Linked DNA regions of Caenorhabditis elegans. The protein of the gene in region 3 interacts with the protein of the main gene of each other region in a pairwise test. Each region holds a gene or a part of one and is shown on either strand. Other genes may lie near its edges. The genes, in order: tct-1, arp-1, dnc-2 and imb-2.

The links.
Region 1: the proteins of dnc-2 (region 3) and tct-1 interact in a two-hybrid assay, tested with the Caenorhabditis elegans proteins (one large-scale study listed by BioGRID).
Region 2: the proteins of dnc-2 (region 3) and arp-1 interact in a two-hybrid assay, tested with the Caenorhabditis elegans proteins (one large-scale study listed by BioGRID).
Region 4: the proteins of dnc-2 (region 3) and imb-2 interact in a two-hybrid assay, tested with the Caenorhabditis elegans proteins (one large-scale study listed by BioGRID).

What each region holds. Positions count from the first base shown.
Region 1 is NC_003279.8:10,565,425-10,572,319, forward strand, and holds tct-1 (Translationally-controlled tumor protein homolog), read left to right. Parts: upstream 1-3,687; 5' UTR 3,688-3,709; coding exon 3,710-3,737; exon of another isoform or gene 3,738-3,988; intron 3,989-3,992; coding exon 3,993-4,510; 3' UTR 4,511-4,611; downstream 4,612-6,895. Other genes in the region: pas-5 (Proteasome subunit alpha type-5), read left to right, coding at 932-1,154, 1,204-1,538, 1,586-1,774; rplp-0 (Large ribosomal subunit protein uL10), read left to right, coding at 2,510-2,654, 2,701-3,026, 3,072-3,539; F25H2.12 (Methyltransferase domain-containing protein), read left to right, coding at 4,659-4,793, 4,833-5,018, 5,065-5,194, 5,241-5,347, 5,402-5,743, 5,791-5,916, 5,961-6,056, 6,111-6,203 and 1 more; rtel-1 (Regulator of telomere elongation helicase 1 homolog), read left to right, coding at 6,606-6,895. UniProt on the Caenorhabditis elegans protein: Involved in calcium binding and microtubule stabilization.
Region 2 is NC_003280.10:15,116,538-15,125,995, forward strand, and holds arp-1 (Actin), read left to right. Parts: upstream 1-3,763; 5' UTR 3,764-3,771; coding exon 3,772-3,864; intron 3,865-3,939; coding exon 3,940-4,379; intron 4,380-5,145; coding exon 5,146-5,320; intron 5,321-5,370; coding exon 5,371-5,508; intron 5,509-6,247; coding exon 6,248-6,526; 3' UTR 6,527-6,808; downstream 6,809-9,458. Other genes in the region: Y53F4B.23 (Neuropeptide-Like Protein), read left to right, coding at 8,026-8,108, 9,085-9,250, 9,302-9,458.
Region 3 is NC_003281.10:5,922,621-5,929,959, reverse strand, and holds dnc-2 (putative dynactin subunit 2), read left to right. Parts: upstream 1-4,205; 5' UTR 4,206-4,228; coding exon 4,229-4,336; intron 4,337-4,393; coding exon 4,394-4,460; intron 4,461-4,505; coding exon 4,506-4,920; intron 4,921-4,970; coding exon 4,971-5,298; intron 5,299-5,354; coding exon 5,355-5,432; 3' UTR 5,433-5,562; downstream 5,563-7,339. Other genes in the region: zmp-1 (Matrix metalloproteinase-A), read left to right, coding at 776-923, 1,120-1,255, 1,300-1,640, 1,923-2,176, 2,580-2,934; bcl-7 (BCL7-like protein), read right to left, coding at 3,165-3,448, 3,671-3,761, 3,809-3,874; C28H8.2 (uncharacterized protein), read right to left, coding at 5,563-5,616, 5,662-6,030, 6,545-6,610.
Region 4 is NC_003280.10:14,362,470-14,371,025, forward strand, and holds the start of imb-2 (Importin N-terminal domain-containing protein), read left to right. Parts: upstream 1-3,231; 5' UTR 3,232-3,269; coding exon 3,270-3,305; intron 3,306-3,353; coding exon 3,354-4,745; intron 4,746-4,918; coding exon 4,919-5,252; intron 5,253-5,307; coding exon 5,308-5,640; intron 5,641-5,682; coding exon 5,683-5,898; intron 5,899-5,950; coding exon 5,951-6,201; intron 6,202-8,556. Other genes in the region: tebp-1 (SPK domain-containing protein), read left to right, coding at 1-533, 579-1,040, 1,090-1,588, 1,647-1,835, 1,902-2,147, 2,197-2,406.

The DNA.
Region 1 (6,895 bases), on a different chromosome or scaffold from region 3:
GCCTGCTCTTCTGAGCAGTTATAAATGTGTCACAAATTAGAATAATATACTAAATCACAAAACAAAAACTTGGATAATAAACATGAATTGAAGAGTTTCTATATAATTGTTCCGAACTTCGTCATTGGTGCCGCGGGGATTCTCACTATCAGGACAACTGTTTTATTTTCACTGTTTCCACATTCTGTTGCATTTTTTTGCAAAGATTTGTTCATGAACGTTCATTTCTCTCGATTTTATCGGGTGCGGATATAAAAATGTTGACAAATAATTATTAATTAACTGGTTATTTTTGTAAATACAACAAAAAAACATGAGAACCATTCAATTCAAAGAACTTACATTTCCCGACACTTTGATTATTTTCCTATAGAGCTTTTTAAAAGCTTTTAGCGTTAAATATAGCTAGACGAAAAATCTATTAGTAAGCGAGTCTCATATTCATTTTCCCTCTTTGATACGTTATTGGAAATCTCACGTGTTGAATAGTTTCATATTCCCAAATTACTTTTGATTCCAACTATTTAATATTCATCATAAAACTTTCTTTAAAAATTTCATTTCGAAATTCTGCCTTTCGCGCCAACACGAGAGACGCAGACACCGCGACGCGCACGCCGCGAATTGTCAGCATCTCACTGCAACCTGTTACTTCCTATTTTCAGCTTGTTTTTGTGTTTTTCTAAAACGTTTATTTTAAAAATTGATTTCAGAAATTACAGTAGTAAAAGGTTTTTAAAGGCGCTTTCTTTTAATCGCTTACTGGGTCTCGACGCGATGATGACTTCGCAATCTCATTGGCGCCCTTTCGCTCTCTTCTTCTTAACTTTTTCATTCTTACTCGCGACGACTATCCCACCTCTTCCATTTTTTTGTGCTTCAATATGTCCAATGTTGCTTCGAATATAATTTATTTACATTTCAGCCAGTCATGTTCCTCACTCGCAGCGAGTACGATCGTGGAGTCAACACTTTTTCTCCAGAAGGGCGTTTGTTCCAAGTGGAATACGCTATTGAGGCCGTCAAACTCGGATCTACAAGCATTGGAATCAAGACGAGCGAAGGTGTTCTTCTCGCTGCTGAGAAAAGATCGACATCGAAGCTGATGGTCAATGACGCGATCGAGAAAATCAGCAAGGTCGACCAACATATTGGTTAGTTCTGTGAACTGTTTATCATCTTAATTTATAAGAATTGTTTCAGGCGTCACATTCGCAGGTTTGATTGCCGACTCGCGCACTCTGGTCGAACGGGCACAGATCGAGGCTCAAAATTTCTGGTTCACTTATAACCGCAAAATTCGCGTGGAAGACGTCACTCAGTCGGTCGCCAATCTAGCTCTTCAGTTTGGAGACGACGACGTCAAAGCATCAATGTCTCGTCCATTTGGTGTAGCAATGCTGTTCGCTGGTGTAGACCAAGAAGGAGCCAAACTGTTCCATCTCGATCCATCTGGAACTTTCATCGATTGTAAGGCTAAATCGATCGGTGCAGCTAGCGATGGAGCTGAGCAGAATCTCAAGGAGCAATATCATGATGTAATTTCGTCAAATATGGTTATACAGGAAAATGTATTTTATTTCAGGCTCTGACTATCAAGGAAGGACTCAAGATGGCATTGGCCATTCTCAAGCAGGTGATGGAAGAGAAACTGAACTCCGCCAATGTCGAAGTCGTTGTTATCAAACCAACAGTTGACGCGAAGGGGCGTCCAATCGGAGAATTCACAAGAGTGTCGAACGAAGAGCTCGATCAAGTTATCACATCGCTTTGAAGAAATTATTCTTTCCTGGTTTTTTGTCTCTTGTTTCTTATGGTGTAAAGTAACTTTATTTGCGATGTTCAGCTATTTCAATAAATTATTTGTCGTTCTTTTATACATTTTTGAAAGCGCCACACATTCAATACGTCCGCACCCTTATAAATGATCATATCTAATATTCCCAACCAGGAGTTACAGTATTCAAAAAAATTTATATTAGAACCGAGCTCGGCGACGAGCGAAATCATTCTAAAAAGAAAACTGATTAAATGTAGAAGTATATACACCGATTTTCTGATTTTGACATCACCGGACTCGAATATTTTAATTGGTGTTGAAATTAATCAATAATTTCTCTGTTTTTTATTTAGAAATATCATGATTTGGAGGTTTTCCCTCCACTTTCAACAAAATTAATGATAATTCTGGTGTCGATTTACGAGAAAAGTTAAAGGCGCATGGCTGCTGCCGCCTTGAGGGTCTCGTGACGAAACACATTTTCTGTTGTTGAGAGGCGAAACATTCAGTGTTCCTAAAATTTTTTCACTGTTTTTCCTTTTCCTTGTTGAAAATGTGATCGATTTTTTCAAAATTTGATTAATTTATATTCAAAAATGTGAATCCGTTCAATTCTGTTGCACTAAAACCACCGATTTTCAAAATTGTACATTTTCAGACCTCAGTTTTAATATAATTTATTTTTTCAGTCTTTAAAACGTAACCGCACGCGATCCTTAATTCACCAAGATGGTTAGGGAAGACAGATCTACTTGGAAGGCTAACTACTTCACCAAGCTTGTCGAGCTTTTCGAGGAATACCCAAAATGCCTTCTCGTCGGCGTTGACAACGTTGGATCCAAGCAAATGCAAGAGATTCGTCAAGCCATGAGAGGTTACTATTTTTAATATTCTCAATTCCTTTAAATCGTAATTTTCAGGACATGCTGAGATCCTTATGGGAAAGAACACCATGATCCGTAAGGCTCTTCGTGGACACCTCGGAAAGAATCCATCCCTTGAGAAGTTGTTGCCACACATCGTCGAGAACGTCGGATTCGTTTTCACCAAGGAAGATCTCGGAGAAATCCGCTCCAAGCTTTTGGAAAACCGTAAAGGAGCCCCAGCCAAGGCTGGTGCCATCGCTCCATGCGACGTCAAGCTTCCACCACAGAACACTGGAATGGGACCAGAAAAGACCTCTTTCTTCCAGGCTCTTCAGATCCCAACCAAGATCGCCAGAGGTACCATCGAAATCTTGAACGACGTTAGTTTTCATTTTTAATAGTATATTGTAATGTTTTCATTTTAGGTCCATCTCATCAAGGAAGGAGATAAGGTCGGAGCTTCCGAATCTGCTCTTCTCAACATGTTGGGAGTTACTCCGTTCTCATATGGATTGGTCGTTCGCCAAGTTTACGATGATGGAACCCTCTACACTCCAGAAGTTTTGGACATGACCACCGAGGAGCTCCGCAAGCGTTTCCTTTCTGGAGTTCGCAATGTCGCTTCCGTCTCGTTGGCCGTCAACTACCCAACTCTCGCTTCCGTCGCCCACTCTTTGGCCAACGGACTTCAAAACATGTTGGGAGTTGCTGCCGTCACCGATGTCTCCTTCAAGGAGGCCGAGACCATCAAGGCCTTCATTGCCGACCCAAGCAAGTTCGCTGCTGCTGCTCCAGCTGCCGCCGCTGCCCCAGCTGCTGCTGCTCCAGCCGCCAAGAAGGAAGAGCCAAAGGAGGAATCCGACGACGACATGGGATTCGGTCTCTTCGACTAAATCCACAAGTTGTTCTGAATTTGTTGTTAATGAAATGTTATCTCCAAAAAAAGCGTTTTTAATTACTTTTCTTTGTGGTGTTATCGAACACTTAACTATATCTCTATTTTTTTGTTTCTTGTTTGAATTTTTAATCTCGTAATTTCAGTTACTGGCCCCATCCTTCAAAAATGCTGATCTACAAGGATATTTTCACCGGTAAGATTTCTTTTTCTGAAGAAGTTTTCCACACTCCTTAAGCTAGTTTGACTGTGATTGTGCATTTTAGATCGCTTCATGAGTTCGCTGCGTTTTGCTGTGAATTCATTGTTGCCCTAATTTGTATAGTCATGGGTGTCAAATTGGCGAGTTACGTGTGGTAAATGGATGACGATCAAATTTTGTTCTGTGAACTTTGCCGTAGATGTGATGCTGTTTGTTTATAGATTGATAATGATTGTCGAACAATTTCAGATGATGAGCTCTCGTCCGACTCCTTCCCAATGAAGTTGGTTGATGATCTTGTTTACGAATTCAAGGGAAAGCACGTTGTCCGCAAGGAAGGAGAGATCGTTTTGGCTGGATCCAACCCATCTGCTGAGGAAGGAGCCGAGGATGATGGATCTGACGAGCACGTCGAGCGTGGTATCGATATTGTCCTTAACCACAAGCTCGTTGAGATGAACTGCTACGAGGATGCCAGTATGTTCAAGGCATACATCAAGAAATTCATGAAGAACGTCATCGACCACATGGAGAAGAACAACCGTGATAAGGCTGATGTCGATGCCTTCAAGAAGAAGATTCAAGGATGGGTTGTCAGCCTTCTCGCCAAGGATCGCTTCAAGAACCTCGCCTTCTTCATTGGAGAGAGAGCCGCTGAGGGAGCTGAGAACGGTCAAGTCGCCATCATCGAGTACAGAGATGTTGATGGAACCGAAGTTCCAACCCTTATGCTTGTCAAGGAAGCCATCATCGAGGAGAAGTGCTAAACTTCACTGTTAAATCATTTAATGTTTTCAATGAACTATATATACTCCCCTATCACATATCGATTGCAACAAAAACATAAATTATTGTCTCTAGTACCTTGGTTAGAATGGTTTGGAACAAAAAATGTAATTTTGTAACTTGAGTTTCATGGAAAGTTCCAAATTCGATGAAGTTGTCTCGAAGTATCGGAGGATCTTGAATAGTCGTAGCATCGAATACTTTGCTTCGTCGTCTTGGGATTTGCTTGAAGATGAATGGAGAGAGTACCTGAATCTAGAATCGGTTAGAACAAAAATGTATCTAATCTAAAATTATATTCAGCTTGAAGACGTCATAGTCTTCGTAAATTCATCGGATAATCTTGTGTCAGCTGATTGCGCCTCTATTCCACATTCTCTGAGAGACTTGAAAGCAAATCTTAAACTTTTCGAATACAATAGGAAATGTGTGGAAAATCCTTCAGATCTTTGGCGTCAATGGACAGGAACCACAAGAGATGGGTTAAATGTAGTTATAATCTTGAAATTTTAAAATATAAAATTAACAATTTCAGGCATCTTTCCGTACAATATCGTCGGCGAATGGATTGGTAAGGAAGAGGATTAAAGCGAAGAAACAACACGAAATTGATAGAATTGTGGAATTAATCTCACAAATTCAAATATTCCAGAAAGATTCGGCAGGTATTCAAAATAATAAACTTTTCGAATCAGTTGTCGAATTTTGCAGATCCCATAGACAGTCTGGTGGATATTGGTGCTGGAATTGGACATTTATCACGTATGATCTCAATTCATAATAATATATCGGTTATGGCTGTGGAAGGAAACCAACAGGTGCGTCAAAATCACAAATATTTGAACATAAATCCAAAAAAAAACTCGTTTCAGTTCACATTGGCTGCAAACTCGCTCGATGAGAAATTACTTCTGGATTCTGCAAAAATCGGATCTCGCATTGAAAATTTCAACGTCAAATCAACACCAATTCGATACACCAATTTTGTAACCGAAGATCTTGCTTTGAAAATCGATGATTTTGCTGTAAACTCTGCAATTTTGGTCGGTCTCCATTGTTGTGGAGATTTTTCGTCGACAATTCTCAAAGTTTTTCAAAAAAGTGAAAAATCGAAAGCCCTAGTGCTTTTTGGATGTTGTTACCACAAAGAATTTCAATGCTTTCATTTTTTACGACCAGAAAATAATGAAAATGAACGAGAGATTTCTGAAAATGTAGGTTTTAAAAAATTATTTAAAAAATAATTTCAGTTAATTTGCAGACGTCTTTTGGAAAGTCAACAGTTTTTCCATTGAGCAAGAAATGGGAAAACGTCGAAATAGACTATTTACTTCGAGAAGCAGCTTGCCACAACAACGAGAATCTTGAGGAACGATTTCTGAAACAGGTATAAATTAATAATTATTTCTTATCACAAATTTCTATTTTTAGAAGATTGATCTTTCACGATATGCTCGATCATATCTGGAAAAATGGATTTGGAAAGTTTCCGAGTTGCCAGAAGATCGGAATATCGGGATGTGTTCGGTAGGCCCGATAGTTTAGAAATTTAGCTATTAAATTCAATTTTTCTCATTTCAGGTAAAATGTATTGAGAATCAGACAACGTTTGAAGAATATATTCGAAAAGCTATGGCAAACCGGGGAAATCATTTACTGGATAAAGTTTTGCAGGTTAATATTAAATATTTTTTTAACATAAATTACTAAACTTCTATCTAATTTCCAGATAATTCCACAATCTGAACTATCCGCTCATGTCTCTTCTCTCCGAAGCTCTCAGTTCGATTCGTTTGAAGTTCTCCGATGCATGTTTGCTCCAGCGATTGAGTCAGCAATTATCGACGATCGAGTGGAATTGTTAAGGGAAAATGGAATAAATTCTAGAGTTGTTCCACTCTTTGAACCTTCTATTTCACCTAGAAATCTTGCCATCATTGCTTATAAATAAACATACTTTTGCAAATTTGAGTTTATCCTGTGTGGTGTGTGATTAACATTTTTGGTTTTATAATCCACGATTTTCTGTTTGTTTTTTGTTGTTGCCAGGTAAAATCTCGGCTAACACATTTCAGTATGCCGCCGAAAGCTTCAAATTCAACGGAAGTTTGGATTAACCCGAAGTTAAGTGTAAAATTCCCATTTGAACCATACGAATGTCAGAGGATCTTCATGAAGAACGTTGTCGATGTACTGGATAGAAAACTAGACGCAGCACTTGAAAGTCCCACGGGTACCGGAAAAACGCTGTCTCTTCTCTGTTCGACGCTCGCATGGGTTCAACGTCAAAAAGAGACGAAGCCGCTGGATTTTGCCACGTGGCAGACGTCAGGAGCCGGTGGAGCAGAAAAAACTGATGAGAAATT
Region 2 (9,458 bases), on a different chromosome or scaffold from region 3:
TTCAATTTTCAAAGGTTTCGAACGTTTTCAGAGAAAATTTTTTTTTTGCCCAAAAAAAAAGGCAAACACTCATTGACTACCTTCTCTTTGACTACCTTTGCTCATTGACTACCTTTTGCTCATTGACTACCTTTCGGCTCATTGACTACCTTCAGTTGCTCATTGACTACCTTTATCTAATTTTTCAGAATTTTCAGTTTTTTTCGCTAAAAAATCAGAATTTTCAAAAACATGTTACTTTTTGATGTCTAAGAAGGTCGTGCACTTTCTCATTTCCTGAAATTCCGGAAAAAATGGAGATGAGATCTGATGTATAAATGCTCATTGACTACCTTCAAATGCTCTTTGACTACCTCTATCTAATAAAATTTTCCAAAATTTATTTTTTTGAAAATTTTTCAAAATTTGATCAGATATTATAGAAAAGTGCAATTTTTGTCGTTTTTCTAGTTTGGATGTTCTGCACACTATTGCAGACGAAAACCTGAGGTAAAGTAGAACCCCTAAGCTCAAAAAACGCACTCACTTCGGATGCTGATATCTCCGTGGGAAAATTTTTAAGACAAAGTAATAAACTACAAAGTTGTATATCTTAATCTAAAGTACAAGGTAGTCAATGATATGAGGTAGTCAATGAGCAAAGGTAGTCAAGGCTGGGAGTGTGTTTAGAAGTGACCTTTGCAGTCCTCAATACCATTAGAGAAAAAGTAAAAGTCAATTTTCCTCACGTTATTAAAAATAAGAAAAAAAAAAAAGAAAAAAAAAACAATTTCTATCCCAATTCTTTTCAAAACTACAGTTTCGGCTCGATATACCAATGAAAGAGCACAGTGTAAACTTATTTTCAAAGTTCTCACGGCGACTCCAATCACTCTACATCAATATAAAACTGAAATTTTAAAAAGGAACCCCAAATGAAAGACAGCGTATGAATTTCACTAAAATACCAACCGATGACTAGTGATTTCGATCCCAATTCTTTTTAAAACTACAGTTTCGGCTCGATATATCAATGAAAGAGCACAGTGTAAACTAATTTTCAAAGTTCTGATGGCATCACCAACCATCAAATTACATCAATGTCAACACATCAAAATACAACGGAACATTTGAAGACTAGAAGGCCACTCGAATGAGTGTTGAGTGGGCCTCGAGAACCACCATCGGATAACACCTCGAGCGCAATCAACGGTTGGATTGTCCTGCTCTTGTCGACGAAGGACATACAAACGGAAAACCACAGTAAGTTTGCCAGAAGGATCATAAACAGTTCACAAGTCAATAGTATTCTAGGACCTTCCCCCGAATTAGCAGAAAAATAAAAAGAGTTGCCCAGGAACACATGAGTGAAATTGCCCAGAATTAGATGTGGTCAATCAATGATGATCCTATACGGCAAAATTAACAGGGAATACTCCACCTGTATTTGGAAAGCGTGGAGATGTATCCGGAAGCACGCTGTGCATGCTAGCCTTCACTTTTTAACCCCCGCTCAAGCGGATAAAACTATGAACCAAACCCAAAATCCGTGGCACTCTATTACTACTATTAAAATAGAACTGGAATATCGAAAGCGGAACCCCAAATCAAAGCAAATAAGGAACAAGAAAAGGAAATGTGACAATTCTTCCATTTTTGAATATTCAAACTTCGGGGGATCCAGGACTCAAGCCACTCTCGCCTGTGTCCTCCATCTTTCCATTTAGAGCAAGTGTTATCGGATTTTTGACTGATAAGATGCCTATTAGGTAGGCACAGCAGGCTCGGAGGAAGCCGCCCCCCCCCCTAAATGCCCACCAACAAGTCTACAAAATGACCCAGTGTAGTATGCACTTCCGATATTTTTCATTAAACCCACCGCGGCAATGCAATTTCGAAGAGATCCACCACGAGTGTTCCCGTTTTCCAATAATGACTCCTTCAAAACGACGACAATTTGCATGTGGAGCGAGTGTTCTAAGGAATTCCAGGGATCTTCTGATTGCAAAAACTGTTTCCGGAGCTGAAATACATAACAAAATTATTTCAAATTCCCCTCGGTAAATATATGTATTCTTTTAAACAAGCTGAAACTCACCCTAGTCTTTCAGGACTTTCAATAAATAGAGTTCTTCGGACCACATCGACAACAGTCGGCCATTAACCAGTACGTCTGTTTTTCATTTCTCTCGCCAAAATTTTCATATGGTGCAATTGTAGTCGGAGTCTTGACAACAGATTGACAAACTTCTATGTGTCATGTAGATGTCCTCCTAAATTAAAAATTGTTAAAATGTGGCAGAAGACACATGCGCAATACCTCAAACATGTCATCACTCAATTCCGATCCAAACTACGATTATCTGATGTTTTCGTATCCATTGTCTTTATCAGAACTTCCTTTAGTCATGCGAGCTGGTACTTGTACTGGCGTGGTGGTCACTGAAAGTAAATGAAATTTCTGTCGGAATTTGTGAGAAAAAATGAAACATGTTTAACTTTGCAAAGCTACAAAAGATTATTTCGATAAACAGTTTTCAATTATGGAAAAAGAAACGAGCAGAAAATATGAAAGCAACAAGGATTTGAAAGCAGAAAACAATAAAAAAAAACTGTGCACCACAACGGTCTGCAGACAGCACTCTATTGTGAGAGACGCCGAGAGAGGGAGGAAGAGGGCCATGTTGCGCAGAGATCACAACACTGCGGGCACTGTGCCAAGTATCATTCCGGATGGGAGACGTGTGTGTGTGTGTGTAGTATAGACGACAAGATTAAAAAACAATGCAAGAGGCGTTTGTTTTTGTAGATCACACGTAGATCACAATGTATTTGTAGATAACAATAAAACAGAAATACGATTTGAGAGATAAATAAACTGTGATCTACGCAAAATTTACACAGAAACTGCTGAAAGTGATGACTACTGTATACGGTTCGAGAAACTTTCGAGAAACTTTCCCCAACAACTTTCTCCAACTTTGGACAACTTTCGGCGAAGAAATACAAGATAGGATATTCAAATGAATGAAAAATGTTTTTTGGTTTTATCAACTTACTTTTTGGTTCAGGTTTTTTTTTCTAGCAAGCCATTTTGTTTTCAAATGCTAATTTGTCTTGTATGTAGTTAATAAACTTCTATTTTCGGTGAACAAAATCTCGAAAACTTCATTTAAAACTTGAAATTCATCAATTCCCACTGCAAACTGCGTATCGGAATTCGGAGTCTCGTTTGGCCACGCCCACTTTGTTGTTTGAACTTCAATTTTGAAATTAACAGTTTAGAGCTCTAATTAGAGCTATATATTGCAAAATATTTCCAATGTTTTGGTGATTAAAAACTGTAACACATTTTAAATAAATATTTTTATGGAAAAATTTCCAAAAAAATCCATGAAAATTCCACAGCAACGGAAGTTTGAAATTACAGTACTCTTTAAAGGCGCGCGCGTAAGAGGATTGCTTTCTTTTTGCTCAGGTCCGCATCGAATCCTGTTGTAATATTTTGCCAGAAGTATAGGTGCATGTATTCTTATTATACTATTGGAAAATCAATAGTTTCCGATACTCTCGCTATGTATTTGTTCAGCCTCTGTCCTCCAAAGTACAAAACCCCCATTTCTCCGCGCAAATGATGCATTGTCCGCAAACACGGCGGCTGCAACTCTGCGTACATTTCGCAACTCTCATTTAATTTTGTTTCCACAGAAAATGCCAATTAATCCGGGGTTTTTTAATTGTTTCAAGCTCAAATTTTGGTTAAAACTGTTATTTTATCTTTCAGGTTACAAAATGGACTACGACGTCATCGCCAATCAGCCTGTGGTCATCGACAATGGCTCCGGAGTCATTAAGGCTGGTTTCGCCGGAGAACAGCAGCCAAAGGTAGGCAATAACGAATCAAAACTTGAGATTTTTGAATTTTGAATTTTAAATCATCTTTTAATTCATTTTTTACAGGTTCGCTTCGCCAACTTCGTCGGACGACCGAAATATCACAGAGTAATGGCCGGAGGGCTCGACGGAGACATTTTCATCGGACCAAAGGCCGAATCAAACCGCGGGTTGTTCTCAATCGAATACCCAATGGAACACGGAATCGTCAATAACTGGAGCGATATGGAAAAAATTTGGGAGTACATTTTCGGACAGGATCAGCTGAAAATCTTCCCAGAAGAGCATCCAGTTCTGCTCACCGACGCCCCATTGAATCCGTTGAAGAACCGCGAGCGATCTGCTGAGATCTTCTTCGAAACGTTCAATGTTCCAGCGTTATATATTCAAATGCAAGCTGTGCTATCGCTGTACGCCACCGGAAGAACGACCGGAGTCGTTTTGGATTCAGGAGACGGAGTCACACATGCTGTTCCGATTGTTAAGGGATTTGCAATGAAGCATGCGTCAGTAAACTCTGGGAAATTGCTTTAAAACACGCCTATGTGGTCACAATGACCGAATATCATGATAAAAAAATTCAAAAAAATTTTCTAGATTTTATATGATTTTTTTTTTTTGAAAGTTGCGAAAATCCCAGTTTTCCCCTAATTCCGGTTTGAATTTCCGCCATATGAATTCGTTCGCTGGAGCGCACTTGCATTTCATTTTATTTTTTCTCATTATTTCACTGGTTTTTCTTCATTCTTTGTGTATTTTTATCGGAATAAGAGAGAAAAATTCAAGATAAATTGCAAATTATTTATTTAAAAATCACTGAAAATGCGTAAAACTGTAAAATTATGAGTTCCGGCGATAGCAAACCTGAAATTAGCTTAGTTCACAGTTTCACCCATTTTCAGTGATTTTTAAATAAATAATTTGCAATTTATCTTGAATTTTTCTCTCTTTTTCCGATAAAAATACACAAAGAATGAAGAAAATCAGTGAAGTAATGAGAAAAAATGAAATAAAAATTTAAATTAATAAAAATAATGCAAGTGCGCTCCAGCGAACGAATTCAATTGGCGGAAATTCAAATAGGAATTAGGGGGGAAAACTGATATTTTTGCAATTTTCAAAAAATCATATAAAATCAGGAAAATTTTTTTGAATTTTTTAATCATGATATTCGGTCATTGTGACCACATAGGCGTGTTTTAAAGCAATTTCTCCATTGGGCGCACTCCACCTTTAAAAAAAGCATTTAATTCTAAAATTTCCTTTTTTCAGAATTCAACGAATGGATTTGGCGGGTCGCGATGTCACCGAATACCTCCGAGTCCTTCTGCGCAGAGAAGGATACGAGTTCCACAGGAGCAATGAGTTCGAAATTGTCCGAGAGATGAAGGAGAACGCGTGCTATTTGGCGTTGGATCCGACGAAAGTGGAGAATAATTCAGTGAAAGTAGTGATTTTTTTTGCAGTGAAAATGAGCTGAAAATCGCATTCTTTCAGTCATCCTACGCTCTGCCAGACACCACGAAAATCGAAATCTCCAACTCATTGTTCCGTGCGCCGGAAGTGCTCTTCAAGCCGGATTTGATCGGAACCGAGTGGCCTGGAATGGCACATGTTGTCAATCAATCAATTATGGTAGGCTCACAGCCTGCTCGGACGAAAAATCACTTTTTCAGACATTTTTGCTTAATTTTTGGTGGAATTTCGTTGGAAAATATTAATTGGCACATAATATTGCTATTTTAAGTGCACATTTTTCATCTTTTAGACTTTTTAACTTGATTTTTCGTTTTGGAAATGTTTTAGCTCTTAAAGTAGAACAAAAATCGAAATTTCTACAAGATTACCATATAAATATCAATTTTCTGTTGAATTTTACCCAAAAAATGCGAAATTTCTTTAAAACGAGCCTAGCCAAGTGATTTTATCGATTTTTATCTTATTTTCCACCGATTTTTCACGTTTTCAGTGTATTTTTACAGGAAGTTTGAAGAAAAGTCAAGAAAAATGCGAATTATCGATTAAAACTCAACATTGAAGGTTTACGCCTTCAACGCTGATTTTTAATTGATATTTCGCATTTTTCTTAACTTTTCCTTCGAATTTCCAGTAAAAAAATACTGAAAACATGAAAAATCGGTAGAAAATTAAAAAAAAAAATCGATAAAACCACTTGGCGCGAGGTTTAAATTTTTTAAAGCTATTTTTCAATTTTTAAAAATCATATAAAATTTAGAATTTTTTTTTCTATGATATTTAGCCACTGTGATATCAGAGGAATTTTTTTAAATAAATTTTCAGTTAAATTTTAGCCAAAAAATGCGGAATTTCTAAAAAAAAAAAACACCCATCAGCTCAAACTAAATATTTCCAGAAATGTGACGTGGATCTTCGACAAACTCTGTACAGCAACATCGTGCTGAGCGGTGGAACGACGTTGTTCAAAGGATTCGGCGATCGTTTGCTGGGAGAAATGCGAAAAATCGCGCCCGCTGACGGAAAAATTCGAATTTCCGCGTCGCAGGAACGAAATTCGCTCACATGGATCGGCGGTTCGATTGTCGCCAGTTTGGACACTTTCCGAAAAATGTGGCTCGGAAAGAAGGAGTACGAAGATATGGGAGCGTCGGCGATGCACAAGAGATTCTTCTAAATATTGAATTTTTTCCCTTTTTTGCTCACTTTTCATCGTAATTTATTTGTTTTTTTTGCATATTTTCCCCCTTTTTCTCCCTAATTTGTTCCATTTGGCGCTGGCTCAAAAATTCTTCAAAATTTTCTCAAAAATAGGCGACCTTCTTCAAAAAATGTTATATAGCCCGATTCTCTGGACATAATTATTCAATTTACCCCCTCCTCCCCCAGTTCCGTGTCCCACTATCTGCTTTATGCCTGTTTCAATTATTATTTTTTATATCTAAACGATTCGATTTTTATGGAATTCTTCAATGCAATTTATTACAGGTTCCCGGCAGCTCAATGGAGCCGCTGCGTCAGGCGGAAACTGTGCAATTTTAAGACATGAGGAAAATATTTTTAAAAAAAACTTTACGGAAATTTTCCGAATTGCCGATTTGCCGGAAATTTCAATTCCGGAAAATTTGCCGGAAATTTGCCGATTTGCCGGAAGTTTCAGTTCCGCAAATTTGCCGGAAATTTTCAATTCTGGAAATTTGTCGATTTGCCGAAAATTTCAATTCTGGAAGTTTGCCGATTTGCCGGAAATTTCAATTCTGCAAATTTGCCGATTTGCCGGAAAATTTCAATTCTGCAAATTTGCCGATTTGCCGGAAATTTCAATTCTGCAAATTTGCCGATTTGCCGGAAAATTTCAATTCCGGAAATTCGCCGATTTGCCGGAAAGTTCAATTCTGGAAGTTTGCCGATTTGCCGGAAATTTCAATTCTGCCAATTTGCCGGTAATTTCAATTCTGGAATTTTGCCAATTTGCCGATTTGCCGAAAATTTCAATTCTGGAAATTTGCCGATTCGCCGGAAATTTCAATTCTGCAAATTTGCCGATTTGCCGGAAAATTTCAATTCTGCAAATTTGCCGATTTGCCGGAAATTTCAATTCTGCCAATTCGCCGGAAATTTCAATTCAGGAAATTTGCCGATTTGCCGGAAAATTTAAATTCCGGAAATTCGCCGATTTGCCGGAAAGTTCAATTCTGGAAGTTTGCCGATTTGCCGGAAATTTCAATTCTGCCAATTTGCCGGTAATTTCAATTCTCGAAATTTGCCGATTTGCCGGAAATTTCAATTCTGCCAATTTGCCGGAAATTTCAATTATGGAAATTTGCCGGAAATTTGCCGATTTGCCGATAGCTAACGGAATCTTCATTTTTTGAATTACACATATTCCTCCAATTGAGTAAATATAAAAGTCAGATTTTTCAAAAAACTACAACCTATAACTACAAAAAAGTCACACACACACACACCTCTTCTAGTTCCCTGTGATTTTGGTCTCTACGCTCTGAAATGGAGATGAGGTCATTTTTGGAGATGAAGAGATGATAGCAATAAGATGCTATTTACTTCATTTCGAAACTGGTTTTTCACCAATTTTTTTTTATTCTGCAAAAAAATATCATTTTCCGTTTTTTTGATAGAATTGAATCCCATTGGACTTCCGATAGACCGGCCGCGATGAAAATTTCTTTGATTTTTATTGCTTTCATTGCGATTTGTTCCAGCACAACTGTCTATAAAGTTAGGAAGGTGATTCGGAGGTGAGATGGATTAATAATTGAAAAAATAATCAAGTGAGTCTCAAATTAAGTTTATTCTCTGTATTACCGGGAACAATAAATCATGAGAATGCGTACGTGGAGCATTCTATTTGACGCGCGATATCTCTTACCGAAAACTACAGTAAGAACTTAAATAGCAATAGTTATTTGAGTTCTTACTGTAGTTTTCGCTAAGAGATATCGCGCGTCAAATAAAATGCTCCACGTACGCATTCTCATGATTTATTGTTCCCGTAATAATTCTACAAAATTGGTCGGTTGCACCATGTTATTCCAACATATTTTCATTTTTCAAAATTTTTGTTTCAGGCCATTTTTGAGCATTTTCACAAACATTTCAACTAAAATAAATGTTATTTTCAAATAAATCAAGTGATTTTCTATTTTTTGACACTAATTCTCAAAGAAAATGTTGGAACAACATGGTGCAATAGTCTATTTTGTACAATTGTTGTTCTCAACTAAAACTTTCAAGTAGGCACAAAACTGCCTACCTGCCTTCAAAGTATTTTATGCCTGCCAAGTGCCTACCGACAATGTTAATGTTGAAAATATGCACACGTAATTCTTCAAAAATGGTCGATTGCACCATGTTCTTCCAACATATTTTCATTTTTCAAAATTTTTCTTTCAGGTCATTTTTGAAGATTTTCTGAAAAATTTCAGTTGAAATTAATGTTATTTTCAAATAAATCTAGCGATTTTCTATTTTTTAACACTAATTTTAATTGAAAAATGTCGGAAAAACATGGTGCAATAGACCGTTTTGTAAGACTACAATTGTTGCTTTCAACTACAATTTTCAAGCAGGCACAAAACTGCCTGCCTGCCTTCTAGGCAACGTGTACCTGCCTAGTGCCTACCGACAATGTTTATCTTGACCATATCAAACTCTGTCTACCTGTAAATCAGTACCATTCAAAATTCCATACACTCTAAAATCTTCCAATTCCAGAGCAGAAGCCCGCCACTCCGCCGCCGATGATGACCTGGACATGGCTGCTGCTGAGCTGGTGTTCAAAGAGCAAAGTTCACTGAATTCTGGGGCTGACAGAATTGAGGGACCTCCAAGAAAGCTCCCGTTCGGCACAGAGCATGCAGCTGAGAAGGCTTCTGAGCATGTAAGGCGCTTTAAAACCGCTATAAGATCCATAAAAATCACTATATTCCAGACTGGTGCTCCATCCGCTGAGCCAACCTTCTCAGACCTCCAAAAAACACAATTGGAAGACATCAAAAATGACGAAAATGCTCTAGCACTGAAAAGTAGTATGGTAGGCAAGGGAACTGAAGAGTCCGATGCTCCATTTGCTCATGGAGTTAATGATG
Region 3 (7,339 bases):
TCGACCCCAATATCCCAATTTCATTTTTTGTCATTTTCCGAAAGGCAAACATCCGATTTCATTTTTCGGAGCGGAGGACGATTTTCGAGATTAACATTATTTTTGAAAAAATTTTGATGGTACTCGATAGAGCACTTAAAATGACGATGTTTAGTCTAAATTTCAAGTTTTTGCGTAGGATATGAAGAGTTTTATGGCTGATATTGGATTTTTCAAAAAACGGTCTGTAACTTTGCTGAACATGAAAATATCAAAAATCTTAAAATTACTAAAATCTAGCAAAATATTTTTCAAATACTACTCAAAAATATTTTTCTTTTGAAATTCAATGGATGTTGGGTTAGGCCTGGTTTAACAAAAAAGTTCACAAATTTTTTTGTGGCTTTTGGTAAAATGTCTTTGACTCTGTATAACTCAACCAATGTTTGGTGTTTTGCAATAGAAAGTAATGCAGAAGAAATATAAAATATTTCTAATCATTTTGTTACTTGAACATTTGTTTCCTAGATGGGTATTTTTCAAGGTACGCCAGTTTGAAGATACGCAATTTAGCGAGTTTAGGAGGTTGTTTGGTACGTTGATTAGTGATCGTGATGTACATACATCTAGAGTCTCACTTCTTTCCCTATACCTTTGTATTATCAAATATCTCTTGATATTTGAGAATGGTTTCAATGACAAAAGGTAAAGAAAATGATTTTGGTGTCAATGGGTCCTTTCCTGTCTAATATGGTATATCGGGTCCATGAACAACAAATTTCCAATTCTCTTTCAGATGCAAAGCAGTTGGAACTTCAACACGAATCTCTCTAGATGACTTGAGACGGACGATGCATCAAGCAGCTTCTCAGTGGAGCGAACTTGCAGATGTGGAGATTGTGGAGTCGTCGGTCAAGAACCCGATGATGGTCATTTCCGCTGGGGTGAGAATAACCAAAACTATTTAAAATGTTGTTTTCGCCTACTTCACTTCTATGCATTACCTTAGCGATTGTACTGTGATGTAGATCAATTTTCATCTTATATAATTTTTGAAAAATTCAACTATTAGGATTTTTAATTAGGCGTTTTAGGTAGGCAGGTAGACAGACATTTCTATGCTATTGCAATTGTTTGCAGCGAGAAAATCATTACCCTTGTACTGTACGCTTTGACACAAAAACATTGGCTCACGCTTTCTTCCCGACAAATGGTCAAATTCACATCAATGACAGAGTTCAATTTGCAATGACTAATTACACAGAACGAATGGGCGGTATGTTAAAATTCAAGGTCTCGTAACGATTAATACAATTTTAGCAAACTCTCTTTACTCAGTAGTTGCTCATGAAATGGGACATGCACTTGGATTCAGTCATAGTCCGGATATTGATAGTGTGATGTTTGCATATGATACACCAAGGAAGTGGAAGTTTACTTCAATGGATAAATATAATATGCGATCTTATTATGGGGCAAAAGCTTCAAAAAAAGAAAATGAAGAAGAAGAAAGAAAAACTGAAAATGAGGATAAGAGACGGAAAACTGAGAAAGATAGAGGTAGAACACGGGAACATGAATCTGATGATATTCGACCAAATGAGTGTAGAGTGGAAAATCCGATTGTTGTGCAGTATCGAGGAGAATATTTGATTTTTAAGGTAAAAAATTACAGAGTACAAATGCAAAGTTCCGTTATTATTCCTAGCGGAAGGATACTGTACGCGGTCTCGGCACGACAGAAATTTTTCAGCTGCAATTTATAAGTGTGGACCTTTGAGGAATACCCTAGCTAGGGGCCCTAGTTTCGAATGAAATCGTGAAAAATGAAATCGAGACCAGTTACAGTATTTTTCTTTGCAAACAGCAAGTTTCACAAAATTTCGGTCACTTACCGTACCCAGTCACAGTACCTTTTCTCGAATGATCTAATTTATTTCCAGAGTCAATGGGTTTGGCGTGTATCGTCTGATTGGAAGCGTCTTATAATTAAAGCAGTTCCAATTAATCAATTATTTCCCGGACTACCAAATCCGATTGATGCTGCCGTCACTGTTGGGCACAATCTTTGGGTTTTTGTTGGAGAAATGATTTATGTCATCTATGGAAATCACATGGTTCACGCACCTCTTCGACTTTCGGATATCGGAATTAATGAGAAATACGTGGATTTGGCTTATGAGTGGCATTATTTCAAGTGAGTAATCAAAGCAGTTAGTAAAAAATAAATATTGAGTAATGATAATTGTAGGTTCAGCGAAAATTCGAAAGTTCGTAAACTTGAAAAATCGTTACTTTTTAACATATTTGTTTCAAGTTTGAAATGTTACCAAAACGTAACACATTGCTAATCAAAAATACTCGGGTCTTGGCACGAACGAAACTTTTCAGATATCGTACCCGCGATCGTTTAGCAGCTTTTCACCGATTTACTTTGATACTTTGAAAGATTATCTTGGTGTTTAAAAAAAACATTTATTTAAATATTTCCAAAAAGACGGTACATAATACATTTTGAGAAACTACTCTGAGGGTACGGTAGCTGAAAAGGTTCGTTCAGGACCACAACTTAATAAAATCAAATATAATTTCCATTTCAGTCCGCCTGCTGTATACATTTGGAAAGGATCTCGATATTGGAAATTAGACGAGAAAATGTATCATCGAAGAGTTGATGAAAGGTATCCAAAAGATACTGATCTGAATTGGGCGAGAGTTCCAAAAGGAGTACATTCTGCCTTCACTTATGAAAAAGAAATTCATCTTCTACGTGGAAATCAAGTTTTTCGAATGAATTCATCCCGATCTGTATTTGATATTGCTGATGGATATCCCCAACCTTTACAATCTTTTTTCGGATTCTGCCCTCGCAATGAGAAGCTTGTTCTGAATTCTTCTTCTTCACATTTTTCTTTGATCTATGCAACAATTACTATTTTGATACTCATCTTTTAAGATTTAAATCTCTCAATGGCAGATTCACTTGTAAAAACAGCACTGAAATGGGTTTTATTTAAAGTTTTAACTTGTTATTTTAACTGGTGAATACAAAAAATTATTAAAAATAAATGTGATGAAACATGAAAATTTTTGAATTAATGAGATAAAGTTCGGAATGAATCAGGATTATATGATACAACATGAAATCAAAATGAGTACAGATTAGAGATCATTAGATAAAGATTTTATGGTTGTTTTGATGTCATTTCAGCGTCGCGCATCGAACTGAAATCCGTTGAACCAGTGGCTCCACCTTGATAGTTTTGTGGCTCGAAAGTTTGATTGGAGTCACTATCAAAGTGATCGCCAGTGGAAAAATTGGAATCTTCGTTGATATCGAATTGTGGTGGTGGTTGGGTAACGCTGGTGGAATCCTGGGAATTCTCAGCAGATGGGACTTGATTGCTCTCCTCATCCACTTCTTTGACTTCCTTGATCTTTGGAGGAGCCATTATGTTTTGAGCGCTCACTGAAAAAGTTGTATTGAAAGTTTGGTTTTTTTTTTGAGAAATTCAAAACTTTTATATAGCAGAATATGTTATTAATTCATAATGCAGAGTCATTGAATTGTATCAAAAATATAAGTGTGAAGTTTTTTTTTTAATAATTACTATTTTAAAAAAGTATTTCATATAAATTTATATATAAATAGTTTCTAAATACCGAAATACGTGTTAAAATAAAAAATTACCCGGAACCCATTTGTAGATCCGAATATTTGTGTCCTTGATAAGAACTAACTTCTTTTCCCACCGACGAACTTTTTCCAATGAGTTGATAACCTGAAAATCTTAATATCAGTTTAGTTTTGGAAAAGTTGATTGTTTACCTTTCGGAGTTCATCTTTTGAGCGATTTCTTGTTTCAGCGCGATGAGATCTATTTGCTGAGTACATCTGAAACTTAAAAATTTAATAAATTTACAGAAAAATAAATAAAAAGAACGAAATACAATAAAACTGTTTAAATTCGAACAATCGAACGTTTTTGCCAAAACTGAACTCTGTCGCCTCTAATCTCTAATACGTGCCGGTAGAGCGCAGTAACTCATTGTTGTGTGTAGTCCTCTCGGACAATCTAATTTACTTGTTTCGCAATCAATTCCACGGCCATTTTGATGTTTCTAGCACGATTTATTACTTTAACCTATCATACATTTTGTTTATTCATTTTTCTAAATTTTTGCCGTTTGATCCTAAATATTTTAAATCAAATTCTGTTTTCTAGAAACTCTCAAATCTTGCGTCAAAATGTCATCTATTGGAAAAGAAGATATCTACGAGTCTGACGGAGCTGCAAGTCAAGTTCAAAAAAGTGAACCTGAAAATGACAATCCAACTCATCCGGATATCGAACTGGTTTGTATTTAATTAATTTAAATAATATAAATATTTAGTGAATTCTGATTTTTACAGATTTCGGTTGACGTTGACGAAGCTCTCAAAAAGTACAAAAACCGGGTACTGAACTTGACTTCAAGCGGTAATTTTAAAATAATATTACTTATCATCTTTTTTTTAAATTTAGATTTTTCTGACTCGATTGCTAAAAAGCGGCGACACGCATTTGGAAACAATCAATACGTATTGGAAGTTACTGGTGCAGGATTTTCGGGAACCGAGACTGCAGCCGAAAAACTGAATCGCATTTTGTACGAAGTCGCCGATCTGAATGAACAAATTCGTGCTGATGAAAATCTTAAAACGGATTTGCTCAACGCTGAGGTTCTTGAGAATCTAGAGAAAGAAGTGAAAACGTTGCAAGTGGCTCAGTCAAATGGAAAAACTGCACGAGTTGAGCATGATGTTGAGTTACCAAATGTTCGCACTGACTCGAAAGTGGCAACTCTTGAAAATAGGTTGAGAAGAATCGAACAAGTTATTGGAAGTTCGGTTATTCCATCAGCTCCCGTACTTGACACCATTGAAGATCTCAAACTCAGGTGAGATATCTTAAATTTAAAAAAATAAAAACGTATGAAAAATGTTTGAGATGCGAAACGCTTAATCATTCGTATGTCTCCGGTCTTGAACAACGTTTGAATATGATGCTTACCAAACTTGAAAAAATCGACGAGACACGCGCCAACAATGATATCGACGAGAATCTTGACAAGAAAGTTGATGAAATTCTGGAGCTTATGCAAAAATGGGATGTCGCTTGCTCATCTCTTCCAAGCAATGTTAATAAGGTTAAAGCATTGAACCGTCTTCACGAACAAGTTCAACACTTTGCCGGTGGACTATCACATTTGAAAACTATCAGAGAAAAACTCGAAAAGGAAGTCGCGCAAGGAAGAGAAGCGATTATCGAGTATGAGGTGTGTTTTTTAATTGTTTCGAGGAATATAAACAAATTAAATTATTGAAATTACAGTCCCAAGGAAAGCAAGAAATCGGGTCAGTGGTTGAAAAGCTGAAGCTTCTCGAGGCAAAAGTGGCAGATTTGAAGTGATTTTATCGACCTTTCTAGAGAAACAATTCATAATTTATTGTGTACGGACAATGCAACATTAACTAATCTGTTCGATATATTTATGTGCTTTATTTTTGCTTTCCATATTTCCGAATGAACCAATCTCTATTCAGCAATTGAAGGCCATACTCAGATAACGAACTCCCCATCCGACATTCTCGTCCTGAAATTTTCATATTTCTAAGTCAGATTTTTCGCGAAAACTCACATTAACCGCTCTGATAATCATATGAAAATGATCTTCGAATCCAAACCAAGATTGTGATGTAACATGGAATTCAACCGTCATATGAGAAGAATCTTTAGTCATTATTGCAAAGATAATACGAATTTCAGGATTGTAATGAGTTCTTGTATATCTATCGAAATATGATTTAAATCTGGCAAAATCCAATTCCTCTTGAATATGACAATCAGTTCCTTTTACTTGATCATCATAATAATTGAAATGCTCAATCATTTCTGTTTTATTTCGGAACATTCGTCGAAAAGTTCCCATGAAATATTGCAAGAAGTGAAAAGCATTTTTAGTTCTCACCATCTTCGGGAACATTGATCGTGGGTCACTGATAAAGTTCTGAAATATTTCGGTTGGTCCCGACATGAAAACTCAAGTCTTGATAAATTTCCACAATCTGCTAAATAAAGAATTCGCTAATTTGAGCAAAAAAAAAGTCATTTTATCGAAAAGTGTCCTAGAGCGCCAGCGTCTATGATGGTATACGGTATATTTTTTTATGTCGCGATTTTGCTTTGCTTTTTGTTTTTTTTTGTTTTTCGTTTGATTTTGATTCATAATATTTTTGAAAAACCAAAAATTTTATCCAACAAAAGGAGAAACGAAAATTTCGAAAACTACAGGAAAAAGTACCGTATCCTCTTGAAGGCGCATGCCTATTTTCGAAAACTTTTGATCGTGGTAGGACCTATAGCTTAGCTCTGTAAATAAATGTCGAAACCCCATTTTCTATGGCGAAAAATAAGTATTTTAAAAGTTGTTCACAATTAACCGATTAAAATTTACAAAAAAACACATTTAAATATTAATTTTTAAATGTCTGCATTACACTTTCTGGTGCAAATCAACTCACTGCAGTAACAGCATTATCCACGTAGACAATATAGCTGAGGAAAATGAGTAAACCGCAAAGCCTCATCATTCGAATTTTCAAATAGCACAAAATGAGGGCTTGGCGAGGACATCGACATGCTCCTGGAGAAAAGTGTTTTGTGTTGAAAATTATAGCTTTCCAAGGATTTATATCCTAGCTTCTTGGCACAATACAAAAAGACATGTCGACATGAAAAGGGCACGATTCTAAAATAGAACGAAGAATTTGTCGAAATTCAAGATTTAGATTTCAGTATAACATTAAAGGGGGAGGGGGGAAGGGGGTGTATCGCGCAGTAGTCTATAAATAAACATATTTTTCATTTGTTCTATTTACATGTAAAAACGCGTTCGAAGTGTTAGAAATGAATAATCGTAAAAAGATAGATAAATTGAGTAATCGAATTTAATTTAAAATTAAATTTCCTACCACGTGATGACGTTAATCTAGTACATCTTGATAAGAGTTACTATAATATATGAATGCAAAGTTTTCTTGAATTAGTCAGTCTGGCGGATTTAGCCAGTAGGAATGATCGTTTCTTAATTGGAGTGGTTCGCTTCGTTTTACGAAGTAGAGCAATTCGGTTTTGAAATGATCTATCCTACTTGATTAAGCCGTTAGCTCATTATTAGGCTTAGGCGTAGGGCCAGTGTAGGCCGTCTTGCTCATAGAGACAAATAAACTTTTTGAGATGGTTTTTTAATAGAAAATACATTTTATAGAAATGAGAAAAATAAAGTTTTACTATTAGAAAAGCGTAACAAAAAGCTT
Region 4 (8,556 bases), on a different chromosome or scaffold from region 3:
CCAGTCACTTGTGGATCCGTATCGAGAAAAGAGAAAGTACCGGAAACTATTCCAGAAACACTTGAAGAAACCGTCCCAGAAACCGTCCCAGAACCCGAACGTCTTCAAAATCGAATGCCGCTAGATGTGGAAATTTCTGATTCCTTCGAGAAGGCAATGTGGAATCATGTCTCCCAGAACGCCGCCCGTCTAACCGGAAAATTTTTGATGACTGAACAATTTTGGGCCGAGCTGCTCCAATCACAACCGAATATTCCCATCAAGTCGGCTCACATTGTGCTCCACCATTTCAACGAAATGATGCTCGAGAACCTTTGGAAGCAGGCGATGGATCCGGATGCGAAACTGCAGATATTAAAAGACTTGTCGGTGCCATTGAGCTATCATCAGCGTAAATGGATTCTCGACAATGATCGGCTTGATGTGGCTTTGTCACTCGACGGATATGTAGTCAGCTGGGATATTGTGCGAGACCAGCCAGCTCCACGTAGCAAAATTCTTACCTGGACCCCAAGAACTCCGATGAGGAACAGGTATTGGAAAATATCATTTTTTAAGTTTAATTATAATTATTTCAGATCTCCCAGTCTTATGGTATTTCACGACGATATTCGTCCACCATCTCCGATTCAAGTCGTTTCGGATCCAACATCTTCATATTTCCGTTCAAGAGCTTCCACGGATCAACCAGGACCTTCAAGCCATCGATCACAGTCAGCTAATGTACGTGAAACGTATGCGCCGAAAAAGATTCAGAAGCGAGAAAAATTCACACTCGACGATCATATGTGTGCATGGAAGTTCGTCCATGAGAAGATTGTCGAGGCAAAGAAGGAAGGTGTCCAGTTGATGCCAAAGGGAATCGCGTTCTGGAGAGATTTTGTCAAAGTCTCACGATCGTCGAAATCTGCAACCAATTGGAGTTCGCACTTTCGAAAGATCATGTGCCCAGCACTCCACGAAATGCCACTTCACAAGAGAACAATTCTCTATCTTCTCAAGCATATTGATATTGAAATTGATGAGGAGGCTGAGAAGCTGTAAGTTAAGATATCGTTCATAATCCATCGTATAAATAATCCTTTTCAGCATCGAGCGAAAGTTTAACGTGAAGCTCCGTGTTGGCACAGACCGTAGCTTGATTTCTTATAGGCTCTTGGATGCGGTTGTGAAGGGAGAAGTGGTTGAGAAGGACAAAAAATCGGAAGAAGCTCGTGAGATAGAGGCCATTGATGTTGATGATGGCGATGCGGATGTAAAACAAGAAGTGGTTGAGAAAGACGGAAAAGCGGAAGAAGCTCCTGAGCACGAGGCCATGGATGTTGAGGATGACGATGAAGATCTGGATGAAACGATTCCACTAGAATCAGATGAGCAGATGATGGATGAAAATCTCGATACATCGGTTGCTTCTAAGAAAGAAGCAATGGACGTCGACGAATTGTCTAACAAAATGACGGATGCTGTGAACAATCTCCAGAAATCTATCACCGAGAGTACAAACGAGACTACCGTTCTCGAAGGTGCAGCTGCTGCTGTGATCTTGCTCTCTGAGTCGCTTCAAAATTTCTCCAGGGTGGGAATGGAGGTAATTTTACACTTGAATTATAATCTTAAAGACTGAATTCAATTGTTTTTTTTTTCAGAAATCGTCCTCCGACGTCTCATCATCATCTGAGCCAGTGTCATCAGCCGAGCCAGCTGCCGCTGCGCTCGTGCCGTCTGAAGCCGGTCAAGGATCTCGAGACGTTTTTACATCACAATCCGACTCAACGATTCCAGAGTCTTCTAGCTTTGATGAGCTGCTTCCAAATTCGTGCAGGGTGAAAATGGAGGTAATTTTAACCTGAATTCACTTGGATGATGATTTTAAAATACTGATTTAAAGTTTTTTTTTTCAGAAGTCATATTCCGACATCCCACGATCAGCTGAGCCAGTGTTCAAGGTTCCTATGATACCAAATCGCCTATCCCACAGCGCCTCCAATGGTTTAAAGCCGGCCGAGATTTCTCCAATTTTGGTGGATTATGATGCTCTGAACTCGCAAGTCGTTCAGCAAGTCTTGGACGATGCCGACGATAAAGATTTGGAATTGATACACGAAGCGTTGGAGAAAGCTTTTGGAAATCAGGAAAATTGGACTGACGTAAGAAAAAAAGAAATAATAGAAATTTTATCGGGTTTTTTTTTTCCAGAAGTCCACAGCGAAGACCGTTACAATCGGCACAATTATCAAGGCGATTGAGACCAAATTCACAGGAATCTCTCGTGAAGTTCTTCTGGAACAGAAGGAATCCATTGTGGAAGAGGTTCTCGGCAACGTCGAGAACGAGAAGGTTCTCGAAGTGCGCACAGAAGCCATCCGGGAAGCGCTCATTGAGGCTGATTTTGGGCCAACCAATTAAATAGATTTTGAAGTTCTGTTTTTTTCTTTTTCCCATTCAATTTCTCTCACAGTTAATGGGCTTCTCTCATTCCTTACCCCTCGCCCTAGTCATAAATAACTGTTTAACATTTTTTTCTATTCTTCTTTTCAATTTTTCTCAACATTTATGGATTTTCCATTCCTTTCCTCTAGTACAATTGTGTTCAATTTGTTGTTCTCTAAATGGATCTCCCGTTCATTACAAAAACTGGTTAAATAACACTTCTCCAAATGAACGTGTTTTATTCATTTTTTATTTGTCAAATAAACATTTTAAGCTTTAAGTTAACTTTTTTAATTTTTTTATTAAATAACTTCGAACACGGGAATTTTTTATATCAAAAGGTGCCTACTACAGTAATCAAAAGTTAAAGGAACATGGCTTACAGGTTACGGGTCTCGCAGCGAAATTCTAGCTTTGAAACATTTGTCATATTTTTTTCCCATGATCATGATAAATACGTTCCCCATATTTGTTACAAAATATAAAACAATTATTTTCAAATTTCCCTTGTGAATGCTGGCGCGTATTCGGTTTGGCGTCTTTTCCGTCCACCCGCAGTGCTCTTTTCTGCCGGCAAAACACAATTTCTCCCCTTCTCAGCAATTCAGAGAACGCGTCCTCATCGATTTTTGCTTCTGGCTGCAGGATTTATCTCCATTTTATTTAAAATATCAATATGGTTGATATTTTGAACACAAATTTCAATTCTGCAGAAATTACTGCATTCTTGACATCAATCCGTAAAATCTTAATTAATTGCTCGTTAAGAAGTTTAAATTTACGATTTTAATGTGTTTCTTTTTTCAGAACAATTTGGAGCTTTATGCCGACGAATCAAAATGGCTTTCCAACCAGACCAACACGAATTAGAGCAGGTGAGCGTCGTTAAAAAATCGATTATTTCGCAAAATCCGAGTTTTCAGGTAATTCAACTCTTACAACACGCTCACTCCACAGACAGAGATGTTCAACGTAATGTTCAAGTGCAATTGGTACAGCTCAATGAGCATCAGAAGTTCTGTTGTTATCTGGTTTACATACTGAGCGACATGAAGGAGATGATTGACGCGACGAGTCGATCGCTGGCCGGCTTGTTGCTTAAAAATAATATTCGAGCAAAATGGAATAAGTATCCGCAGGACGTGAAGTTTTTCGTCAGGACAACATGTTTGAAAAGTATAGGCGATCAAGAGCCACTGATTCGTGCGACAGTAGGTATCATTGTCACGACTATCGTTATGGAGGAGAATATGTGCGATTGGCCGGACCTTCTAGACACTCTGGCCACAGTTCTGATGCAACCCGACGAGCTGATGCAAGAAGGCGCTCTTGGAGCACTTCAGAAGGTTTTCGAAGACTCGGCGGATCGGTATGAGTCGGAATTTCTTCGGCCAATCATGCCGAAGCTTCTTGTTTTCTATGAGCATCATGCTGCGAAGATGCGGGCTCTTGCAATGAATTGTGTGAATTGCATTCTAATGGTTAATAATGATCCAATTGATTTTGCAATAGATCAATTTCTTACTTCGCTTTTCGCTCGCCACAATGACAATGATGAGGAGGTGCAAAAACAGTTATGTAGATCGCTGACGCTTCTGCTGGACACACACATCGAGAAAATGATGCCTCATTTGCCGAATGTCATAGAATATATTATTAAGAAGACTCAAGATCACAACGAGTCGATTGCCTTAGAGGCCTGCGAGTTTTGGCTTTCAATTGCTGAGAATAGTGATATTTGCCGAACAATGGTGCTTCCACATCTCGATAAGCTCATACCAGTTCTGCTTGGCTCCATGCGATATTCTGAGACAGATCCTGCGTTGAAAGCTAATGATGAAGATAGTTCGGTTCCTGATAGAGAGGAGGATATCAAGCCTAGGTTTCATAAGTCGAAGCAGCATGGTCTTGGTGGCCTTGTGGAGTCGGATGATGAGGAAGACGAGGACGATGATGACGATGGTGGTGGCGACTGGAATATCAGAAGGTGTTCAGCAGCATCTTTAGATGTTCTGGCTTCTATTTTTGGAAAGGATCTGTTGGATAAGCTCTTCCCCCTCCTCAAGGACACATTGATGAATGACAACTGGCTGGTCAAAGAGTCTGGAATACTTGCGCTCGGGGCAATCGCGGAGGGATGCATGGACGGCGTTGTGCCACACCTTGGCGAGCTCATACCATTCATGCTGGCTATGATGTTTGACAAGAAGCCACTCGTTCGATCGATCACGTGCTGGACGCTGTCCAGATATAGTTCGCATATTGCATCCGACGAGAACTTCAGGCAACAGTTTTTCAAGGATGTGCTCGCCAATGTGAGAATTTAGAATATATAAAAAACCTCGTAGTGCTTCAAAAAAAGTTTAAAAAAAAACTAGACTTAATTTGCAAAATTGTTTTAAAAGATTTAAAATGGGGTACTCTTTCAGTTAAATTCTAGTTGAACGCAAGTAATGTACTAAATTGAGAAAAACAAATTAATTTTCAGCTTCTCCGCTGTTCGCTCGACGGAAACAAGAAAGTTCAAGAAGCTGCATGCTCTGCGTTCGCAACTCTCGAAGAAGAAGCTGGCGAGCAGCTCATTCCATTCCTTGGCGAGATCCTCGATCAACTGGTCAAGGCGTTCCAGTGCTATCAGGCAAAGAATCTTCTGATTTTGTACGATGCCATCGGAACACTAGCGAATTCTGTGGGCGACGCGTTAAGTCATCCGGTTTATGTGCAAATGCTCATGCCGCCGTTGATGGAGAAGTGGGAGCGGTTGAGTGACGAGGACAAGGAGTTGTTCCCACTTTTGGAATGTATTTCTGCAATTGTTTCAGGTTGGTAAAAGAAATAACTAATTATAAGATAGTTTCGACTTCATACTTTTTACAGCAATGGGACAATCCTTCCTTCCATACATTCAACCGGTATTCACAAGGTGCTGTAGTCTCATCGAAAAGTGTGTTCAACAAAACCAACAACACATTATGGCTCCGGATCAAGTAGAAGCTCCCGAAACGGACTTTATCATTGTGGCGCTTGATCTCCTCTCGGGACTCGCTGAGTCGTTACCGGAACATATGGATCCCTTGGTGGCAAACAGCAAGCTGGTCGAGTTGATGTTGTTCTGCTCGTTAGATGTGACGCCAGACGTCAGACAATCGTGCTTCGCGTTACTCGGAGATTTGACGAAAGCGTGTCCAGAACGAGTGCTCCCACAGAGTAGTAAGTAGCTCCCGCGTCTACAGATTTGATAAACATTTTCAGAAATCTTACAATTTGCAGGCAATTTCATATTTTTTCTCGCCCAAAACCTGGATCCCTCCAAGATCAGTGTGTGCAACAATGCGATTTGGGCGCTCGGAGAGTTGGCGCTGAAAATGGGTCCCGCAATGAAACAGTTCATCGGGCCCATCATTGAACCTCTGATTGTTGTCATCAATAGCCAGCAGAATATGCAGCGGACGTTGTTGGAGAATACTGGTGAATATCTAAAAATAGTAAAAGCTTGGAAACTAGGTATTTAAATTTACAGCCATCACAATCGGCCGTCTCGGACAATGTTGCGGTGAAGAGCTGGCTCCCCATATCAGCCGATTCGTTCGCCCTTGCTGCTACTCACTTCGAAATATTAAGGATAACGCGGAAAAAGAGAGCGCGTTCATCGGTTTATGCAATATGATCAACATGAATCCCGTCGGAGTTCTCAATGATTTCATCTTTTGGTGTGACGCTATCGCTTCGTGGACAGTACCGACCGACTCACTTCGGGTTCTTTTTGCCGGGGTATTTGAAGATTTTCGATTTTTTTCTGACAAAATCGAAAAAATGTCGATATTTCATCGATTTTTGAATATATTGATGAGAAAAAACATCAAAAAATATATAAGACTTCAAAACAGCAAAAGCCCTCATTTTCAAACTAGAGAAAATTTTTCGATAAAAATGCAATTATCGAAAAACAAAAATTTCCGATTTTTTAAATAGAACAATCGATACGAAAATTGACAAAAAAAAATTTTTTTGGAAATTAGAAAAAGAAAACATTTTTTTCATTTTTCGGTTTTTTCAAAAATTCTGAAAAAAAAATCGATCGTCGACATAAACTAACTAGGGAATGGTGTTACCCCTGCAATTGCTAGGAGGACAAAACAAAGTGAAAATGGAAGATCAGATCTATGGCTACAAGAATCAGTTTTTGGAATCTGCTTAACTCGGTCCCAAAGCTGAAATTTTTGGCCTTAAAAATTAGTGCTTTTTTTGCTGAAAATCCCATTTTAAGTGTGTAGAATTGGCTACACAAACGTTTTGCACTGCAGCCACCGTTCGAATAGCCGATTGGTGAACACTTGCGTTCATTAATCCAGACGTCACAGGTTCGTCCCCCACTAGGTGTAATTTTTTTTGAATTTTTTCTCGAGCATAAATTATCCACAAAAACGCGGTTAATTTCGTTTTTAAATAGGTTCAGCATAAATTTTTTGGTTCCTGGAAAGCATGAAAGTCATGTGGAAACTTTTTGGAAAATTTAATTTTTTTGAAAATTTCAACTTTTTCTCCATCTGTGGTATGAAGATTTTTTCCAAAAAAAAAAAAAATTTTTTTGTTGAAAAGGGTTATGTAGTGTAGAACAGTTTTAATTTTGGTAAGTTTTTCAGCTATTACCTTCAGATAAGATAACAACCAAGTTATCAGAAACATATTGAACAATCGTTAGTTGTCGCCGCATCATGGGCGCAATCAGGTACTACAATTCAACTTTTTCAGACCTAATTAATTTTTCGAGGTTCGAAATGTTGAACCGCGAAAAAACAGAGTTTGCGGGATTTTTTGAATTTTACTTTATATTTATTTCCAAAATTGTGAGTTATTCCATTATTTTATTCCGTATTCGTAATGTCTTTGAACATTTCCAACGTCCTCTTTTTGCTGCACCAAAAATTCCCGGATCCTCTACCCGACAACCCAATTTGTACAAGAGAAGAAACGAAGCTTGCCGGTCATTTGGTTAATATCCTCAAACTGGCTGTGGATCACGATATTGATGTTGAAGAGCGCGACGAAGTTGCTGACGAGACTTTCAGTGATTGGGATTCAATAGAATTTGAGGTACGTAATTATAAGTCAGTGAAACATTAAAAAAATTTTATAGTTCTAAAATGTCCAAGTATCATATTTTGACTGTGAATAAAAAATATTTAAAATTGATTTTATTTACAGCCAAAAAGTGCTATATACCTAATGTTCACCTATCCTAATTTTGAAAGTAGACAAGGTTCAAATTTGAACCAAATGCTCGAAATCACTCAAAAACTCACACTTTTGGAACATTTGGTTATTTACCGAACGTTTGGCAATTTGCCAAAACTTTGACTAAAAATTTTTAAATAGATTCCATTAGTGTTTCATGATGATATTTGAGCATGTTGGATAAACGAATCTAGTCTAAATTTCCAAAAGCTGAAACCTTTTTTCGACATTTTGCAGCCTAACGATGGAGTCATCTTTTCGTCTCCTACTGAATTGGTGTTTGGAGGCAGAGTGGTCACGCGCGAGGAAGCTAATACAGCTCTCGATTACTACCGTAGTGCGAAAGCTGGGAAACGAACTCTGGAAGCTATGAGAAATCGATTTCGTTGGATCACTGGAAGACACGATATGGACAAATTGAAGTTATATGAAAAAGATAGAGATAACTTCAAGGAAAGCCGAAGAAATCTGCTGAAGTTCCTCGGAGAGCGACTCTATGAGGAAGTCAAAGGGAGACTGGATTCAGGTAAATTTAAATTGAAAGCAGCTATTTCATTTCAACTTTTTAGGAATCTGTCTACATGACCGTGACTTGAAAATGATTGCGCTCGATATCAATAAAAAAGAAACCCATGTGGAAAACTTCAAAGCGTGCCAAACTTGGATCACCAATTGGAAGAGGAGTTACAAGTAAGATTTTTACACAATTTGAAATTAAAAAATACAACTTTTTTTGAAGCATCGTGAGCCGCAAAATCACGAAATTTGTGACGAGGAGATATGTCCGTAACAAAGCCGCCACCCTGCAATCAGCAAAGGATTTTGTACAAGGTTGCCGAATGGACATCTCATCGTACGGCCCGGAAATGATATTCAATGCTGATCAGTGTG